Caenorhabditis elegans: one gene and its partners. The protein of the gene in region 2 interacts with the protein of the main gene of each other region in a pairwise test. Each region holds a gene or a part of one and is shown on either strand. Other genes may lie near its edges. The genes, in order: mek-5, gap-3, pafo-1 and pcf-11.

What was found.
Region 1: the proteins of gap-3 (region 2) and mek-5 interact in a two-hybrid assay, tested with the Caenorhabditis elegans proteins (one large-scale study listed by BioGRID).
Region 3: the proteins of gap-3 (region 2) and pafo-1 interact in a two-hybrid assay, tested with the Caenorhabditis elegans proteins (one large-scale study listed by BioGRID).
Region 4: the proteins of gap-3 (region 2) and pcf-11 interact in a two-hybrid assay, tested with the Caenorhabditis elegans proteins (one large-scale study listed by BioGRID).

What each region holds. Positions count from the first base shown.
Region 1 is NC_003279.8:6,800,286-6,805,368, reverse strand, and holds mek-5 (mitogen-activated protein kinase kinase), read right to left. Parts: upstream 3,170-5,083; coding exon 2,957-3,169; intron 2,731-2,956; coding exon 2,411-2,730; intron 2,277-2,410; coding exon 2,174-2,276; intron 1,748-2,173; coding exon 1,475-1,747; intron 1,418-1,474; coding exon 1,329-1,417; intron 1,069-1,328; coding exon 910-1,068; intron 701-909; coding exon 574-700; 3' UTR 509-573; downstream 1-508. Other genes in the region: K02F2.5 (Conserved secreted protein), read left to right, coding at 168-302; E02D9.1 (K Homology domain-containing protein), read right to left, coding at 3,714-3,729, 3,855-4,096, 4,209-4,472, 4,520-4,945.
Region 2 is NC_003279.8:2,007,512-2,012,189, forward strand, and holds the start of gap-3 (SH2 domain-containing protein), read right to left. Parts: upstream 3,015-4,678; 5' UTR 2,969-3,014; coding exon 2,909-2,968; intron 2,747-2,908; coding exon 2,654-2,746; intron 2,588-2,653; coding exon 2,493-2,587; intron 2,449-2,492; coding exon 2,319-2,448; intron 1,260-2,318; coding exon 1,077-1,259; intron 56-1,076; coding exon 1-55.
Region 3 is NC_003283.11:11,519,858-11,523,929, reverse strand, and holds pafo-1 (RNA polymerase II-associated factor 1 homolog), read right to left. Parts: upstream 2,228-4,072; 5' UTR 2,165-2,227; coding exon 2,124-2,164; intron 2,073-2,123; coding exon 1,971-2,072; intron 1,922-1,970; coding exon 1,795-1,921; intron 1,741-1,794; coding exon 1,480-1,740; intron 1,428-1,479; coding exon 818-1,427; intron 762-817; coding exon 625-761; 3' UTR 546-624; downstream 1-545. Other genes in the region: C55A6.11 (uncharacterized protein), read right to left, coding at 2,396-2,503, 2,549-2,974, 3,212-3,298; C55A6.7 (DeHydrogenases, Short chain), read left to right, coding at 3,497-3,625, 3,773-4,072. UniProt on the Caenorhabditis elegans protein: Component of the PAF1 complex which is a multifunctional complex involved in transcription initiation via genetic interactions with TATA-binding proteins, elongation and transcription-coupled histone modification.
Region 4 is NC_003281.10:5,023,466-5,030,170, forward strand, and holds pcf-11 (Polyadenylation and cleavage factor homolog 11), read left to right. Parts: upstream 1-1,878; 5' UTR 1,879-1,942; coding exon 1,943-2,233; intron 2,234-2,917; coding exon 2,918-3,016; intron 3,017-3,097; coding exon 3,098-3,319; coding exon of another isoform or gene 3,320-3,565; intron 3,566-3,585; coding exon 3,586-3,647; intron 3,648-3,889; coding exon 3,890-4,117; intron 4,118-4,162; coding exon 4,163-4,740; intron 4,741-4,788; coding exon 4,789-5,108; intron 5,109-5,157; coding exon 5,158-5,730; intron 5,731-5,779; coding exon 5,780-5,878; 3' UTR 5,879-6,182; downstream 6,183-6,705. Other genes in the region: R144.13 (Coenzyme Q-binding protein COQ10 START domain-containing protein), read left to right, coding at 1-128, 189-251, 303-509.

The DNA of each region.
Region 1 (5,083 bases), 4.8 Mb from region 2:
TACAAAACTGATATACTGGAACACAAAATTCTGAGACTGCGTATTGCGCAAAATATCTCGTAGCGAAAACTGCAGTAATTCATTAAACGACTAGCGACCGTGTCGACTTTCGAAATTCGAAAAATTTTTGTTTCCGTAATATCTGAATCTATATTTAAAACTTTCAGGTAATCTTTGTGCCAGAAGAAGCACTTATCGAAGCCGCTGCAGAAGAACAAGATGAAATTGAACTACGTCAAAGGATAGCAGAAATTGCAACAATTCTTAATGAAAGAGCCACTAGACGATTGAGATTCTTTTAAGAATAATTAGCTCTAAATCATAATTTTAATTCTAAAAATATTCCTCGCTGGCTCTCATCTTCCCGGTTGACTAAAACACCATTCATTTCTCGCACACAATTTCTCACACATTTTCAACGGTTTTCCTCAACTTTTCCTGTCCTTTTTCCCCGAATTTTCAGTCCATCCTTCCACCAAAAAATCCCACCAACCGTTCGTCCAAATACTTTTTTTGATCCAAAAATTTTTTATTTTGTAGAAGAGAGTGAACTTAAACAAAATAAACTGTTTTCTACCGTTGGTAATAGTTATTCACAAAATTAGCAACACTTTGACGATTCGGTTCAGGAAGATCTCGTAGATAATCACTTTGTTCAATTTGATCAGCATTCCAACGAGCCGATGGTTGACGACGAAGACTGAAAATATTTCAAATTATTTGCATTAAATGGCATTCAACTACAGAACTTTCAACTAACAAATAATAAAAACTCGTCGAAAGTGCAATAAAATAAAAAGAACAGCTAGTTTTTGGAACCAGGAAAAACATTTTGACAAAATTGGTATGTGAATAGAGGCTAGACATGTTTTTTTTTAAACCAAGACAAATAAACTTGAAAAAGCATACCAATTAGATATAAGAACAGCCAATGACTCTGGAAAACCATCAATCGGTTCTACAGTAATCTCTTCATAAGATGACAATCCATTGAGATATTCTTCCAGATTCGGACCGATAGCAAATTCCCAAAGTGTGAGCCCGAAACACCAAATATCGACTTTTTCGCTAAAAATTTATTTCGTGATTAGTGTTAAAATTAAATTTAAGAAAATATTCCAATGTGCAATATTCATATATGCTTTAGAGATCCTGTTATTAGCTGCTTAAAGCTGGATTAACACTTAACGTTTTAACCACATTAGTCATAGCTAATCTATCTAAATACCAACTTTTATAAGAAATGAAAATATTGCGTCAACAGATAAAATGTTTGAACATGCTCTATTGATGGAAAATAGAGGAAACTAATCTGAAAAAATTCGTACCTATAATCTTGTCCCATCTGTTGTTCAGGTGCTTGATACATTTGTGTACCTGCTGCCGATGATGCTATCCTGTATGTATTGTCAATTCTCTGGAAATACAGTTCAATACGAGTTTAAATCAAAAATAAAAATTAACTAATGCTCACCTTAGCTGCTCCAAAATCACAAATCTTGACATATCCTTGTGAATTTACAAGAATATTCTCCGGTTTTATATCACGATGAATATAACCCGGTCCACTATTCCAAACATGTCGAATTGCACGAATAAGTGAAAGTGCAACACTTTGATGAACAGAAAACGGTAGAATACCAAATGGTCGAAAATCTCCTTTATCCATATATTCAAGCACAAGTTCTTTCTTTATACTGCTCACTTCACAACCATGATAACCAACTACGTAATCGGATTGTGAACACTGAAATTATTTAGATATAAAACTGAATTTATCTGAAATAATTTTCAAAATGTTTTCTACAATTTTTCACATTTGTTCACTTTAAAAATCATCGATAATTGTTTGAGAATAATAAAAATAGAAAATCATAAATAGGTTTTATCAATTTTCGGAAAATTATTTTTGAACCAAAATGTATTTATTGCTCAAGTTTATAAAATTTGAAAACAGAAACATTTCTTTTAAAAATTCAAAACCTTACCTGTTATCGTATCACAGCTTCGTTTATGAGATTTACCATCCGATACACATTTGAATTTTCAGTTTAAAAAAATTTTCTCATATTTAAATATTTAATAAGCTTTAAGAGAAAATATCTGTCCAAGTGTGCAAAAAATTATTTTAAAAACGTTTACTAGTTGAAAATCTTAATAAAAATCATGTTACCTCTTCATACGCGAGAATTTCTTTCTCATATTCCGTTTTATCGGTATTTTGTGACAAAATCGTCTTGATTACATACCATTTTTGTGTTTTTTCGTGAAGTGCCCTAAATTCAAAAAAAATTCGTCAATACAGTTTCCTGTTTCGCACTACTTTATAGCCTTTTTTCCGAAGTATTACACTAATTCAAAAGAAAAATTGGCATAAAAGTAATGTCAAGTTGTCATTATGGGATCTCACATTCTCACTGTTGCATGCATTCCGTTGCCCACATATTTGCCACGTTGCAATTCTGATGGAAATATTCTAACGTTTTGAGAGTTTCCAGAAGATTCATCATTTTTTGACGAAATATTTTCGAGTATTAATACAATTTCCTCGTTCTCATCGGTATTTTCCAGTCTCTCCGAGAATTTTTCAAAGTCATCAGCTCCGCGAACTTTTAATATCGCGCCGTCAACGTCGTTATATTTTAATTTGAAATTATTCCGAATTTCTGGAATTTCAGACTTCAATTCGGCAATGAGAATATCCCAAAATCGCCACAAATGCTCAGGAAGCTGGAAAACATAAAATTTGCACTGTTTCTCAATAAATGTTCGAAAGCGTGCCACAAATATTAAATTAATTTTTTTAAATATCGTGCTCAGATCTTGAGTTACTCAAAATTTGTAAGAAGTTCGAAAAAACGAGAAAAATACATTTCCAAAGTTGAACAATTTAGTATTTTTCAGATTTGTGGCATCAAAGATATTTAAATTTTTTTTAATTAAAAATCCAATTAACCTGTAAACATCTGGGCTCTGCCAGTTCTCCAATACATTTTTCCAACTCGAAATAGACAAGAAATGTTCGAATTCCAGACATTATAGAAAAATGAACCGAAACAATTGCTTGGAGAGAAATAGAAAGAAAAAGAAAGTGAAAATGTTTTTTCGTTATCTTATTTGCTCTTTGGAGGCTCTTATCTTTTGTAAAGAGGATGGGCTCGGTGAGCATATGTAGGCGGAAAATTCAAGACATTTTTGGTATCTTATTCATTAAAAATTCTAACATTTTTGTAGGAATTTCAGAAATTTCCAGAGAAAATAACTTCCGAATTCCTTTCCCCACCCATTTTCAGGTATTTTTTTCATTTTTCCTTAACAAATTACTTATGCAAATTCACGCGACTTTTATAGTAGTTTTCTGCAATTATATTCATAATTTAGTAGCAATCACGCATTTTCCCGAATAACATATTTTATTTCAACGTTTGATTAAATTATTTGAAAACTTTTTGGAAGATATCAACAAAATAAATTATCAAATTAGATATGATCATGGATCAAATCAAGAAAGGAATGGAGATCCATTTTAAAAAGAAAAGAGCAGAGAGAGAGAGAGAGAGAAACAAGAAAAATAAATATAAGATAAAAAGGAAACAAAACGTTTTTCGGGCATAGTTTCCATTAATATTGAATATTTTTTGATTAGGATGGTTGAATATTTGAGAATTGTATTTTTGGACAGATTTGGAGCGTTTGGTGAATTTTTGGGGTTTTTAGTATGGTCGGAATCTGCAAATGTTTTCATGTATTTATATATTTTATTAAAATTTTTAGAATTAATTTTTGGAAATTTGGTTTTAATAATTTTTGTAAATTTTATTTTTTATAACTAATTTATATTTTAGAATGCATACCCAGCAGCTTGGCCTCCTCTTCCTCGTCCACCCATTCCTCCCATTCCACCTCTTCCTCCCATTGGTCCACCAGGTCCACCGAATCCTCCACGTCCTCCACGGAAGCCTCCTCTAAATCCTCCACGCCCACCGCGTCCACCTCTTCCACCACCTTCTCCGCCTTCTTTCTTTTCTTCGTCTTCCTTTTCTTCACCATCTCCGGAGCCGTTTTTCAAATGAGCCGGAGTTGTATCTTCATGAATCTGAAAAAAATAACGACACTTTGGATATTTCTGTTAGTAAAAAGGTGGATGACACATGCAACAACAAAAAACCAAAAATGAAATGACAATATCTGAAAACTATTTTCCTTACCGGTTGCAAAATTCTTGACAACTCCTCAATTACCGCAGCGACACGTCCGTAGGCAATGTATGCTGGAGCAACAGTTTCAACCTTTACGTGAAGGGGCCCACTGAAATGAGCGTGTTGTGGATCTCCAGATGCCAAAAGCTCAGCCTCCTTCTCACGATCCTTGGTGGATCCACGTCCCAAAATGTAAATATGACATTTGTGGGTCTTGCATAGCGTTTGGAGAGTTGCTCCCTTCGGTCCAAGAACTTTACCGATGAAGTTGAACTGGAAAATTGAATTTTGTAAAAGATAAAATGTAAACTATAACCCACGTTTGGATGACGGTAAATCGGAACAAGAATCTTCTTGCAAACCTTAACTGGCTTGGCCACATCAACTTCGAGCCATTCTGGATCAATATTGTTCTCCAAACGTTCTTTCTCGGAGTTTAAGAGTCGTCGGGCATTTCTAAACTGATCACCCGAGGTTTCCAGTCCAGTTACTTCCAAATGAATTTCTCGTAAAACTGCCTGAATCTCGGCATCCAAAGGTGAAGTCATTTCTTGTGGTGGGTATCCTTGACCTGGATACATTCCATATCCACCAGCGGCTCCATATGGATTGTATGGATCGTATCCACCGTAGCCACCAGCAGCGGCACCATAACCTTCTTGTGGATATCCTCCACCATGACCTCCGCCACGACCTCCACGTGCTGGGAATCCACCGCCACGGCCTCCTTGTTGATATGGGTCCATTATGACTGTGAGTTGTCAAGAAATCAAAGAGAGAAGCTCTGGAATAGTAGGCGTTAGACAGTTGAAAAGATTGCAGCAGAAACAAACAAATTAACAGACAAGCTACGAAGGAGTACTTTGAAACATTAATTATTAAGA
Region 2 (4,678 bases):
TGGATACTGTATCGTAGAAGTACGGTAGATCCGACAAATCGGCCACCTCTGTGATCTGTAAAAGCACGGAATCTGAGAATTTCACGCGGTGTTGTAGAGTGTCTCTTGATCTACGCTGATCTACAAAAAAAAGCGGCAGAGCTCTCAACTGATTTCGCATGGTTAAGAGCGTGCTGAAGAAGCCACATTTTTTTGGAAAAAAAATTCCCGCATTTTTTGTAGATCAAACCGTAATGGGACAATCTGACACCACGTGAATTATCGAATTTTCCAAAAATTTGGCAAATTATTGATTTTCTTGAATAGTGTTAATTTATTGATTTTTCTGCCCCCGAAAATCGAGATTTATCGATTTTCTCAAATAGTGTTAATAAATTGGAGAAATCCAGCTTGGACCAAAAAAAAAAAATTTTTTTGTTTTTTTTTTCAGCAGGCAGGCATTAGGTAGGCAATTTATAAATGGGTCTCGCCGCGATTTTGTACCAAAATAAGTGTATTTGGTACGCCAAAGCCTACATTAGATATTACGGGAACACAAAATTCTGAAAATGCGTATTGCACAACATATTTGACGCGCAAAACATAAAAATATCTCTTAGCGAAAACTACAGTAACCCTTTAATTGACTACTGTAGCGCTTGTGTCAATTTACGGAAATCATTTATTAATCAATAAAATTAAATTTTAAAAGAAAACTCAAAAATGACATTTCGTAATTTTTTTTTGCCATTTTTGTGTTTTCTTTTAAAATTTAATTTTATTGATTAATAAATGACTTCCGTAAATCGATACAAGCGCTACAGTAGTCAATTAAAGGGTTACTGTAGTTTTCGCTACGAGATATTTTTATGTTTTGCGCGTCAAATATGTTGTGCAATACGCATTCTCAGAATTTTGTGTTCCCGTAATATTAGCACAATTTCGCCTTTTTTAATTAATTTTTTAAATTTTTTGTAGAAAATTGTGAAAAAAAACGTAACATTTTTTTGCTTAAAAATTGTAATTTTTCATCAGTTTTTTCCTAGAATTTTCAAATTTTCAGTTAGAAATTTCCAGTCTTTCCTACTTTTCCCTACCAAAGGTTCCAAATGTGATCTTAAAATAATTCCAACGGAACCGCTCGTCTCATTTCGTCCTAACATCCATCCGGTCTCGTCGGTCTCACAAACTGACAGAATATCACCGATTTCCGAGTTCATTTCGTCGATTTCGCGTTGTTCGAATCGTCTAACGCATAGGTACTTGGTTTCTTGGATTTCCTGGAAACAAATTTTATGGTATATTAAAATTCCGGCATGCACGGGGTGCCAGCGACTGTCCCATTACGTTTTGATCTACAAAAAATGCGGGAATTTTTTGCAAAATCAGTTGAAAACTCTGCCGCATTTTTTGTAGATCTAAGTAGATCAAACCGAAATGAGACCACGTGGACATGTTTGCGCGTTAAATTTGATCTACTCGATTACGGACTCAATACACCATATTTTACGCGCAAAAACTACTACTATTACAGATAATTCTACAAAACTTTATATTCGTGTATATCGATATTCTGACCAATTCGTCATATTTGACGCACAAATTATAAATTATTACGGGAAGACTAAATTCTGAGAATGCGTATTACACAACATATTTGACGCGCAAAATATCTCGTAGCGAAAACTACAGTAACCCTTTAAATGATTACTGTAGCGCTCTTGCGTCGATTTACGGAAATCATTTATTAATCTATAAAATTAAATTTTAAAAGAAAACACAAAAATGGCAAAAAATAACGAAAAAACCAATGAGAATTGTATTTTTTTGCCATTTTTGAGATTTCTTTTAAAATTTAATTTTATTGATTAATAATTGACTTCCGTAAATCGACACAAGCGCTACAGTAGTCAATTAAAGGGTTACTGTAGTTTTCGCTACGAGATATTTTGCGCGTCAAATATGTTGTGTGATACACATTCTCAGAATTTTGTGTTTTCGTAAGACATGGAGTAATTTAATTGTTTTTTTAAATTAAATTTGCGCGTTAAATTTGATCTACTCGATTACAGACTCAAGACACTCTATTTTACGCGCAATATTATAAATTTCTTTTTTTTCTCTGAAAAATCACTTTAAAATCCAACAAATTATCCAATAATGCAAAAATTTGCGCGTCAAATATGGTGTATCACACGTGGTGTCAGAGTGTCTTATTTTGGCTTGAATAAAGTTGATCTACAAAAAATGCGGCAGAGTTCTCAACTGATTTGGCATGTTTTTGGGCGAAAAATTCCCGCATTTTTTGTAGATCAAACCGTAATGGGGCAAAAAAATACCCCATTAATCGGCATAATTCCTCCTTTTCGAACTGGAATCACAGCCAGCTGATAGGCATCTACAATATCTCGAAGGGTCTCGAAACGCTTTCCTTCGAAAAAGTAGTGAGGTGGGGTGAGTTGGCGGATGCTGAAAAAAATTTGAATTTTAAATTTTTATGTTTAAAAACCAACGGTAAATGTTTCGGATAGCCGTCTTGATCCAATATCGACAGATAAAATCTCGTCTGGCCAGTTTGCCGAACCAAAAACGCGCCGGGAGATGTGCCCTGGAATGTTTTGCCGGTTTTTTGCCATTTTTTGCCATTTTTTTTGTAATTTTTCGCAAAAGAAACCTGAAGCAAATGATTGGCATCGTGTTCGTTTAATTCCCCATGGTACCACACATCGTTTGGCGATATATCAGGCGGTGTTGGGTTCGTGTGAGTCTGCGAAAAAACAATTCCTTTTTTTTAACTTAGGATTTTTTAGAATATTTTAAACTGTAAATATAATTGATTTTCGATGAAAATAAATAATATAAATGGTATTTTTCTAATTTTTTCTAATTTTTCCTTTTTTTCCTCGATTTTCACTTGTTTCGCCCTCACTTTTAGAAACAATGGCCCTTCCGTGCTGCTGTTAGGTGTAGTATTCTCGCTTGAGTGCATAACTTTTCATTTGCACCTGAAAAATGCCAAAAAATTATTGATTTTCATCAAAAAACAGGAAAACAAATTCAAAAAAATGCGAAAAATCGGACGGGTACGCAATTTTGCGTGACGGTGTACGTACTGGGGAAATGGAGGGAAATTTGAATTTTAATTAATTTTCGATGATTTTCGATGAAAAAACCTGATTTTCAGGTAGAAAATTAGAGTTTTAAACCAAAATTTTGTTTGGAAATTCGAAAATTTGCGCTGGAAGCTAAAAAAAAACAATATTTAATTGTCTTGGCCTGATTTTGGAATGTGAATTCCATAGATATCAACTCCGCAAATGTTTTTTTTTTCTTATTTTTATCGTTTTCAGCTAATTAGAAAACTTTTTTTTTAATTTTAGGTGAAAAAATGCAAAGTTTCATCGAAAAGTACTAGAAAATGTTTAAAAAATACAAAATCCGGAGGAGGCAGTGGAAAGTGAACTCCGTAGATTTCAACTCCGTGGGATTAATCCCAGTTTTGCTAATTTTCAGTCTATTTTTTAAATTTTTAATTTGAAAACAAAACGTTTTTTTTAATTCCTTTTTAAAAAACCCATCGAAATGGAAAAAAAACCCGGGGAAGGCAGTGGAATTTGAATTTGGTAGATTTCAACTCCGTGGAATCAAGCTTGAACAATTTCAATAAAAATTCAAAGTTTCCTCAAAAAAAAAGGTGGTAAACGGTAGGAAATAGGTTGTGAATAAAGTGATAAAAGTTGAAGAAAAGAAATCGAAAGAGAAGGGGGGAGAAAAGGACGCATATTATTACACCCACGCAGTCTTCTTCTTCTTCTTTCTCACAATATACACACACACACACAGACACCAGATCACTTTTCTGTGTGTGTGTATATGTGTCTGCGTCTCTACCACGAATCACTGTCTCTCTCTCGGTTTTCTGTGTCTCTTGTACAGCGAGAGAGAGAGCACCGGAAGTTCGGATGATGGACCATTTGTGAAAGTGGGAAATGGAGGACGGAGAACACGGAAAGTTTTGGAATTTATTCAAATATTTTGGGTAATACCTAAAAATAAAGAATTTTCGTGAAAAAAATTGTCGTTGTGATAACAGATAACACAGTGATAACAAGACATGTGATTAAAAATTATGTTTTTTTTTTGAAAATTTTATTTTTTACAGCTGGAAAAGTTTAAACGTGTACACGTGGTGTCAGAGTGTCTCTTATTTCGGTTTGATCTACGTTGATCTACAAAAAATGCGGGAGAAGAGACGCATAGTTTTCAACTGATTTTGCATGGTTAAGAACGTGCTGACGTCACATTTTTTTGGGCGAAAAATTCCCGCATTTTTTGTAGATCAAACCGTATTGGGACAGCCCCTGGCACTACTTGCGTGTGGAGACAGCGCCAAAACACCACATGGTGTATTGGCTGCGCCTACTTTTTCAATGAAATTTTACATTTTTAGAGCAGTTTTGCCGTAAAATTCAGCTGTTTTTTATTGTTTGAAGAAAAAAAGGAAAATTAATGGGACAAGTACCAGCTCCTGCTCCTCCGGGCTTCTTCTTTTTTTCTTTTTTTTTGCCAATTATTATTACTCGGAGGAAGTTTTTTTTTTTTTTTTTGTTGCAATATTTTTTTTTCTAAAAGAATTTTAATTTTAAATTCTTATAACCGGTTATATAACCTAAAATTCAAAAATTGAGAAATTTTTTTA
Region 3 (4,072 bases), on a different chromosome or scaffold from region 2:
CGATTTACGGGCTGGAATTTTGAAATGAATTTCTTTTGGAATACAGTGCTTTTTTTACAACTTCTACGACTTTAAAGGCGCGCGCATTTTCGCGCAATGGTCTCGCCACGCGCATCCCTTTGATTTGTTGAGCGCGTGGCGAGACCAATGACGGGACCATTTTGTATAAATACGCGCGCCTTTAAAGTCGTAGAAGTGGAAAAAAAATGCACTGTAGTTTCGAAAATCTATTGCTACAGTAGTCATTTAAAGAATTACTGTAGTTTTCGCTACGGGATATATTCAATGTTTCGCAATACGCATTCCAATCAGAACGGTAGTTCGAATTTCCCCCAAAACTAAACGTCTTGCCCTCTGATCCTGTTGCTTCCGCATGACAAATCAAAGAATAGAACGTGGAGCACATAAGCGCAAGCAACAGACACCTACACAAACAGAACTTTGCGGGTGTTGGTGTTTCCGCTGTTGGTTTTTTCTTCAATTGTGAGTCAAATCATACTTGCACTTTTAGCGAAGATTCATGAAGATCAATCGAACAAATAGTTGAAATCGTTATCAAGTTTACTGAGAAAAACCAATTTGATTAGGTAAAATAAATAGAAAAACAATTTTAAAAATTTGAGATCAATCACTGTCGCTGTCAACAGTCGGTTCCTTTTTCCGTGGTGAATCGTCATCTGATGAAACGTCCGAAGAGCTATCAGATCGTGATTTCTGCGGCTTGTCGTCATCAGAATCACTGCTCTGATCTGAACTGTCTCCTGAAAAATTGCATGTTCGCGTGGAAAATAACACTTCAAAACTTAAATTTACTCACCACCTTCTTCTTTCTTCTCTTGAATCTTTTCCAGAATCTCTTGTTTTCTGGTCTTTGGCTGTTCGTATAACTCAGCCTCTCTTTTATTCATGTCTTTTTGTTCCAGTTCGGAAGGATTTCGGTATGTGAGTGTCAATTTGGATTTTCTGCTCAATGCCATTTTTGGTTTTCTTGTCATCTTGACATTACAGTCAACTTCGTTGTACTGGAAAACGTTATTACGATGATACATAATGAAGACGTCACGATCCCTTGGTGGCAAGTGTTCCATTTTAAATGTGTATTCACGGCTTAGCAAGAATTCGTACTTCATATCCTCATCAAATGGTCGTTCTAACTCAAGATCATCCATAAAACTCGTAAGACATCCAATCGTTGGAACAAAAACTGCTGCAAATTTTTGATCTTCGAATTCCATGGCTTTAATAACACTGCTCTCCCGTGCTTGTTGTCGTTCATCTTCTTCTTCGAATTCTGTTGTTATAGTGTCTCCATCAAATTGTACATGAGCAAAGAGGTGTTTCCAGTGATCGAAATCAGGGAAGACAAAGCTTTCTTCAACAGCTTTTACACCCTTCTTGGAGTAATGCTCCTTGACGGGTTTACGAACCTAAAATACGCAAAAGTAGATTTAAATCAAAAAAATATATTCTGGTACTTACATCTTCAAATGTCTTGTTAATGGCATCAATTTGACTCTGCTTGTCACGATACATATCTTCAACTTGTTGATTTTTCTTCAAGTTATAACCAAGCTTCGTCTCCTGTCTATCGGCTGTCACACCGAACCGATTGAATTCAGTTGAAATGTACTCGGTTTTTCTCATCCATGGAACAAGTTTAGAATGCTGTTGAGATCGTTTTGCAATCAATTTAGCGGCGCCATCATCTTCCAGTAAAATATTGTCTTTCTCATCAATTTCCTAAAAGTGAAACATTTCTATCTTTGAAACTGTATATTTCAGGAAAAAACCTACAGTTTCGATTGGATCTTCGTCGTATTTTTTTAGATCAATCAAATCGACATTCAAACCCATGTCGTCGTCACAAATGACTGCATGCTTGTAATCTCGATAAATGGCAGCAGGTTGGAATTCGACAAATCTAAATTCAGAGATATTGAACAATGTCAAACGTTTCAAAATTGGTGTACCTTCCCAGAGGAACAAATGGACAAGTCATAAACTTTGCATCAAATGGGACATCAGGAACAGTATTGGTAAATCGAGGTTTCAGCATGAAATCCACTTTTCGTCTGCAAAATGTTTTCAAAACTTTTCTAGCGATTCAAAACAATAATACTTACGGAGGTTCAATCCTTTTGGCATCTGAGGATTCTTGGGGCATTTTTTATAGTAATTTAGTTATAATATTAAGATACCAATCGGCAGAAACGGCTGCAAATCGAAAAAACTAGTCACCGAGGGAATTAAATTCAAACTCTCACACACGGGTTTTGCGCAAGCGCTCAATGCGCGTCAGCAGGGAACAATGGCGCATAACCAGTTTTGCGCGGGTGTTCAAAAAGTATTTTTTGTTTTGTGAATTTCCAGCGTTCTCGTCACGATAATATTTATTTTATGACAAAATGCCATCATTAACATGATAATATTGTAAAAGGGACAATAATGTAAATATAAAGGTGACAATGAATGGTCCAGCAATGTAGAGAGCCAATGCTCCTTTCTGGAAAATTATATAAATGTGGGGTTGTGAACTTTTAAAGCCTACATTATCATGATCATCGTGCATTCCGATACTTTCACGCTGAACAAAGCTAACAGTATTCTCCATTTCAGCATTTAGCTCTTCACTACTTCCAAAGAAAACATCCCACAGCCAAGATCCGAACATTTTTTCCGAATTCCTTTCACAGCAGAGTGTACCATAATAAACTCGATGCTGGTATGTATGAACACATCGTCCCACTTTTTTCTTGTCACATAACTTCATGAATGTTTCCTCGGTTAGATTGAATGGCTTGAGAATTTCCTTCGAAGCACAACCAGAGGCAAATAGAAATGCGTGTTGCTCATTTCGAACGATTTCAGTGAGCATAATTTGTTGAAAGCATGTCTTGAAACCGGAAGTGCAGTTTTTGTACATGAAAGTTCGAAGTTCTTTGTGTCGAGTTCGGGATAAAATTGGGCAGGATACCTTGAATGAAATAATATTTTTACAATTTTCTAGAAAGATCTTATTTTGAAATTGCTCATAACCTACAAAAACATAACAATAGCAAAACAAATTGCGCCTAGTTTTTTGTCTATCTTTTTTTGTCTATCGTTTCTCTTTCATTAAAAATATTTGAAAGAAAATTTCCCAGGGACAACTGGAAAAGCTCAGGAATAGAACCAAGGAAAGTCCTTTATAACATCTCCTGTGTAAACCTACATTCACATTTTCCCCGTTCGCAACCAACACTTGATTGAAGAGCAAAACTGTATTAACCAAAATCGAAATTATCATAGTTTTCTTCATTGTCTAATTCTTTGATCTCTTCTCAGAAATTCCGAAATAAACTAAAAACTGCAATAAACCAAACTAATTATTGTGGCAGTTCATCACGCTGTTTATTTTGCAGAACAGAAGAGAAATACTATTGATAAGAAATAATAATCATCATTCATTGATTTTCGATTTCTGTTAATTCAATTCTATGCTTAAATTCTAGTGAAAATGTCTCCAAAATCAGTTGTGGTAACCGGATCCAATCGAGGATTGGGATTTGGATTAGTTCAACAATTTCTGAAAGATCCAAATGTTCAGCATGTCATTGCGACTGCAAGAGATGTTGATAAGGCAACTGTAAGTTTTTTCGAGTTTATTTATACTTTATCCGTTGCTGAGATTATAGTTATTTGTATTAGGTTTGTGTTCCTAATATTTGTATATGGTAAAAATTTCCCAACAACATGTATTGGACTACGGCATTCTTAATTTCCAATTTTTCAGGCTCTCAAGGGAATTTGTGATCCACGACTTCACATTCTTCAACTCTCACTCGGATCCGATGAATCAATTGCAAATTTTGCTGAAAAAGTGTCTGAAATTGTTGGAGAATCTGGATTAACTCTTCTTATAAATAATGCAGCTGTGATGCTTCCATATGTAACAAAACAAAAACCTGATCGAAAAGTTGTTCTGGATTTGTTTGAGTCAAATACAATTGGTCCAATGATGCTTACACAAAGCCTTGTACCACTCATAATCAAAGCTTCGAAACGACAGGAAGGCGATACACTTTCCGTTTCT
Region 4 (6,705 bases), on a different chromosome or scaffold from region 2:
GGTGTCGGTCGTCTACAGTAACCCACGAGCACGAAAGCTCACAGATTGCGACGCTGGAAATTGGGTTTCCACCACTTTCAGAGAAATATTCGAGTCGTGTGATTCACATTAAGCCATCTGTTGTTCATGTTAGTTTATTCAAAGATTTCTAAGAAGGTTTCGGTTTTCGATATTCTATGTGTTTACAGTCTGTCGTCATAGAAAATGATAATCTCTTCCGCACACTTGACACTACGTTCCGGTTTGGAAAAGTTCGTTCCATCAATTTTTGTTAAACCTCTATTAACGTTCACCTTTTTCAGGGAAAACCATCTGTTGAACGCTCATGTACTCTTCACTATGACTTAGTTTTTGAATTCGAGTCAGCTTTTCACTCAAGAATCGCTCATCTTTTCTTCGATAAAGTCGTAAAAACTATGGTTTCAGCATTTTTGCACCGCGCTGAAAAGCTTTATGGACCACCGGAATTCCCACACTCACCACCGCAGGTTTTACAGTACAAATCTTGATTTTTTTAAACTTAGTGACACTGTAATCAGAGTATTTATTTGTAAATTTTAAATTTTTTTTTCTTGCTTCTTAAATAAAAATGTAGATTCAAACTTTTATGTTCTAATTGAATAAAAACTAGCCGTTTCAGCATCGGTATCCTTATTTTTCACTATTTTTCTCAATATTTTTCTGCGGTAGCGAAACACCGATGTCCCGTTTTCTTCGCAAAATTTCGAATCATTGGGCTTCGCTTCTTCGCTCTTGTCCCGTTCTTCTTTCGTTTGCATCTTTTTTTCAACTCTCACTTTCAAATTAATATGGATTAAAACTCGTTTCGATTAAAATCTTGAAGCGAGTTCATCCGAATTTGTACAAATAATTGTATTGAACATTTAAAGACACATTCCTTATCTAAAAGCGACGTACCATGCTTTTTGAAGTCAATTAATTTTTCGGGAATTGCTCTTTAATATAATTTCTCATACTTAAAAAAATTCCTCACTATCAGAACAAGTAAAAACCTCCTGGCTCCCGTCAGCCGTTTCACAGCAAGAATCAATTGCTGGCAGCTACGAAAATGTTCTCTGCGCCTCTTCACACTCACCCGGTCGCTGCGAGACCCGCGCAAAATCGATTGACACGCCTCTACCACGCGCTTTTGTCTCTCTTGCCTGTTTTCTGTCTCTTTCGTTCATTTCTCCCAGTTTTCTTCAAATATAACGCCGTTTCTTTGCAATTTTCTCTATATGTGCTTTTGCTAACTGATTTTGTCATCTTATTTTAATTAAAATTACTTGCTAATACACATAATTCTTGTACATGTTCCCCTCCATCATCTCCTTTTACCAATTTCCTTCATTCCATCCACAATCTCTCTCTCTCTCTGTTTTTACCTCCTCGTTTCTTGTTGCGTTTATTGATCCATTTTTTCACGTCACTAATCAATATTTTCCAGATACGCCGGACTCGACTCGAAAGACAGCGCGCAGACTGTTTGGTGCGAGAAGAGGCGGACCTCAGACGGTGTGCAGTCACCCTTTAAAAAATATACATTCCCTTCCCATTCCCCTATCCCCCTTCCTTTTATGATTTTGTCCTCATTTTCTCTAAAAAATAATAAAAATATATGGAAAGTCACTTTGTCAGCTAGACTTTGGGTTTCTTGACTACTCTTCAGTTGCGATTAGCATAATATTCGCGCTTGTTGTATCAAGCTGTTGGCTCGCCTGCGCGTTTGGAGCATCACAACTTCCTGTATGTTCGTGCGGAAGTTTTGAAGCTGCCCGCCGTTATTTAGTTTTTGCTCGGGACGGTGCTATAATCTCGTTGACTTCTCCCGTTGTATTTTTCACGCAGTTTTTATTTTTCAAAAATAATTAATTTCAGCACGTGAAAACGAATATCCGGGTTATTTTATTCACCTTCGTAAATATCACAATCAATATTCATGATGGAATCGGTCGAATCGGCAGCACGAGACTATCGTGAGACGTTGGCCGAATTGAGAAACAACAACAAGACTCAAATAAATCTGCTAACTATTCTGGCTGACGACTTCAAAAAAGCAGCTCCACAAATTGTTGAAGTTATTGAGCGGCATCTGACAACGTGTTCTCCTTCACAAAAACTGTTAGTGATGTACGTGTGTGATTCGATTTTGAAGAACGTTAAGAAGCCGAACGATTATGATGCACTGTTTGCAAGGAAAATCGTAAGCATGTTCGAGCATGCTTTCCGACAGGTAATATATCAAAATTAAAAAACATCGGTCTGTCTAATCTAAGCCTTCCATGAGGGTGAGTTTTTACCCTCCCTACCCTACCCTCTGCCCTACCCTACCCTACCCTATGCCCTGGTTTTACCCTGTATTAATTCATTTTTAACGTTTTCTTAGAAATTTCATTTCTAAAAACGAAAATTTTACAAATAAAGCGAATAATGCTTAAAATTCGTATTATTACGTGAAGGCATAGGGTAATGTGTCCATAAAATACCCTGTTCGGGTAAAGGGTAAAAAAGGGTATCAACGTGCCCTACCTTTTTTTTACCCTCACGGAAGGCTTAGTCTAATCTAGCAAAGCACGCAAAAATGCAATCCAACAACGTTTCGCCAGCTTTCATTGCGGTAGTTAACAGATTTTTCGCGCGCCTTTTTGGATCTAGAAGATAAGGTCAAAACTTTCTCAGCTACAGACCGGGTCTTGTCGCGATTGAGTACCGTAGTTTTCCACAAAATGTCCTGAGAAGTTAAAACGTTTTGTTTCCAATTTCGGTGTAAAACTTTTTCCTGCTACTTCGCACGACATTTTAGCGCGTATAGCTGAGAAATTTAAATGAAGTTTCGCAAAAAATATCTACAAAGTATGTCACGTTAATTTCGCTTGCAATTATTTTTCGAAATCATTTTGAATTCTAAACATTTCAGGGAGATGAAAGAATCCGTACATCGTTGTACAGGATACGAGTCACATGGGCCAGCACCACATTGTTCATGCCTTCAAAGTTATATGAGCTTGACATGAAGGTAAACTTTCAATTTCAGATCCTGAAATCGAGCTACGATTTCGCAATATCATTGCTAATGATATTAATATTTGTATTTCAGATCAATAAGCTTGACCCAAATTGGCCAATTTCAAATCCACAGACTGGTCGTGCACTTCGTGATGATCCACAAGTTATGGCTCCTTCTCAGAGTAGACCAGCAGGCAATGCCACCAGTCCAGCGGCTTCCACGTCAACGAATCGTGTATTTGTGAACCCAAAGTTCATAGGTTCATCCACACCTGGTGCAGCATCAGCATCAAAGACGGTCGTGGAAAAAACGGTAAAATATTCTTGTGAACTTTTATTTTCACACGTTTTTCAATGTATCACTTTCTATGTTTTGTCTTTATTTTTCCACATATCATCTGATCGTTTATTTATTATGAAAAAAAAAGAAATGCTTTATCTATCATTTTTCACCGGAATCATGGAAGTTGAGAAAATAAGCGACAGAATTGGCAAAAAACACAATATTCTTCGTCACTGTTCAAATAAATTATTTCCAATTGGGTGGGATATTTGTTGAAACCGCTTATGTTATTACAGAAATCACCTGGCACAGTAAACAAGGAAAAGCAAGTGAAGAAAGAACCAAAACAGGATCCACTGTAAGTTTAATGTCTTAGGCGTGTCTTGGTGTTACAATTTGGTATGTAATGAGAAGAATCGATGTTTTAATTTTGAAAAAAAGTAATTCAGAAACAAAATGAATGAAAAAAAAAATAAAATAAATCTGTGTGAAAGTGTAACATTGAATAAAATTTCACAGTAATTTTGTCATGATCAGCTAGTCCGAAATAACACGCTTAAAAGATTAGTTTTATTTCAGTTAACAAAACATTTTTTCCAGTGACAAACTACTTCCATCAAGCTCTGCATCCAAGACATCATCATCACCGGCTGGATTGAAGCGAAAATCAGCACCATCCGAGCATCCAAATGCTCCGATTCGCAAGAAGCCACAACAACCACCAAAGCCACAGACAGCCATTGATGAGGATCTCAGATCTATAAGCTTGACGAAGAAGCCGCCAGTTCCATCAGCACAAGATCAAGATTTCCGACCAAAGACTTTGAAGTGAGTATTTAGTCTAAACTGTTTTAAAAATCGAAAATTTTGCAGGCCAACATCAGTGATAGGATCTCACGCATTTGCCCCTGTAGCTGCTCCGATCCGTCCTATGATACCTGTGCCACCACCTGTTTCAGTGGCTCCATTTGTGCCTGCTCCGCCACTTTCGTCTGCTCCTCCATTCCAACATCCTCAACAACATCATCCACAACTTCCACCTCCACCAGTTCATCAAGGAATGGGAAGAGGATATCATCATAATTCGCCTCCACAAGATCCGGCACCAATCGTTCCAGTTCAAGCTCCACCTCCACAGCAACACCTTCCAGCTCCAGAGAACGTTTACTCGTCAGAACAACCGAAACTCGATGTTCCAGCCAACAACCGTATCTTTGTCGATGGAAAAGCTTATGAAGTGATGTTTGTCGATGATACTGCAGTTATCGAGCGTGGTGGTGCTCCACATCGTATTTATTTCGCTGGACCGCCAAGAAACCTCGTAATTGATGGAATCCCACACTTGCTTCAGTTTGACACTCCAACTCAAATTGACATATTAGGATCAAAGCATATGGTCAAGTTCGGAGCACCATCCCGCGAACTTTACATTGGTGGTCACCCATTCAAAGGTAAATACACATATTTTCACAGTTTTTAATTCATATTCGAACTTTCAGGTCAATTTGGAGGACCACCGATCATTGCAACGATCAATGGACGTCGTCATGAGATCCGATTGACTGGAAGTGCTCCAGAAGTTCGCATTGAGCCTGAGCCAGCATATCATCTTACTCATTTCTTGCACAAAATGCGCGAGGAGAAGAAGATTGAAATTGCATCGGAGAAGCCGGAGAAGAAGGAGGATTGGCTCTCATATCTGAAAAATTTGAGAACTCGTAATATATTGCCAGCTCCGGCCAGATCGCCATCTTCGCCACGCAACCAGACTCCACCACCAGCTAATCTTCCAATTCCGGGAATGAATAATGCTGGACAGGTAATTAACTATCAGGATTACAGTCTCTTAAATAATTTATTGTTTTCAGAGAGGAGGTTATCATAACCGTCATCAACCACAACAGAACGCTAGATGGGGTGGAGCGAATAAACAGCAGAATATACCACCACCACCATCTGATCCATCTCCAATTGGAAGTGGTGTTGAGAAGCGAAGTGCTCCACCGGCGGCCATCACAGATTTCAATATTCGTCTCTTGCAAATTCGTTACGACTCGGTCGTTGACGCGTTGATTACCAAGAGAGCCGACGCTTGCAAGTTTTGTGGAATGAGATTAGATGATTCTCAAGGAAAGTCAAAAGAATGGCAAGATCATATGGATTGGCATGTGAAGCAAAATTTGGCACGCCACGGGTCGAACAATTCGGCAGCTGTACCATATCGTCAGTGGTATCCATCGACATCCACTTGGCTTACACCACGTGCATCTGATGAAACGAATGAGCAAGAAGCTGATAAACCCGAGGAACCACTTCCAGGAGTAGCATCTTCCGGTGTTAAAACCAAAGAATGTTCAGTTTGTGGTGAGAAGTTTGACGAGTATTATGATGATGACGAGGAAACGTGGCGATTAAGGGACACAGTTAATGTTCACGGAAAGGTGAAAATTTGTTATTCAAAACTCGTGAATTTATCAAGATTCATTACAGATTGTGCATTCTGCGTGTGCTTCCGACGCAGCTCGATCACTCGACAACTCATCATTCTTCAACGACAGTGACATCAAAAAAGAGGAGCCGTTCGACTGAACATAATTGTTTTTTTATTGAGCCTTTTTGATGGGCATTGTCTAGTCATTGAAAATATTAACAGAAATTATAAAATTCACCAAAAAATTCATTAAAGCATTTTTCCATATGCTTTAAAATTTTCAAGCATACCAAAGTTTTCCTGTTTTCTTGTTTCGTTATGGGTTTTTTAGTTTTCATTTAGCTTACACCCCCCCCCCCCCCCCCCCCCCCCCAACGTCCCAGACAATTTCAACAAATCTTGGTTGTGATTCCGTTTCAAAACCTCACCTATACATTTTCTATAAATAAAGCAAATTATTTTTAAAAATACCTTTTATATATATTTTTCCTTTTCCACCCTCCAATTTATCACATTGAAAATAAAAATCATAAAACCCCCGTTTTTCAGAGTCGACGACTTCAATAATTTTTATTTGCTTTTTTAAAATTATTTTTTCGTTTTGTTTTTTTGGTCGAATAAATCTATTAAAATGGGAAATATAATTGTTTTTGTTCACATAACGAGAATTTCAGAGATGTAGGTTCTGGTCAATTCCGTAAATCACTGACACTCCAAAGTTATGAAATGCCGCAAAGACTACTGTAGGCAGTATCAATTGAATCAATTGTTAGAAACCTGTTTCGAGAAGTTTTGGAATATTCGTATTTCAACATTTTATTGGCTCTAAATTGTTCAAAAATCTCAAATTTTGGAAAGTTTGGTAAGTTGCCAAAATGACTAGATACTTTTAAATATCTAACACGTTTTGGAGTTTGCTACGATATTCGGGTTTTTTGGATAATTATATTCATAAGTAAAAAATCGGATAAATGCTGTCAAAGTT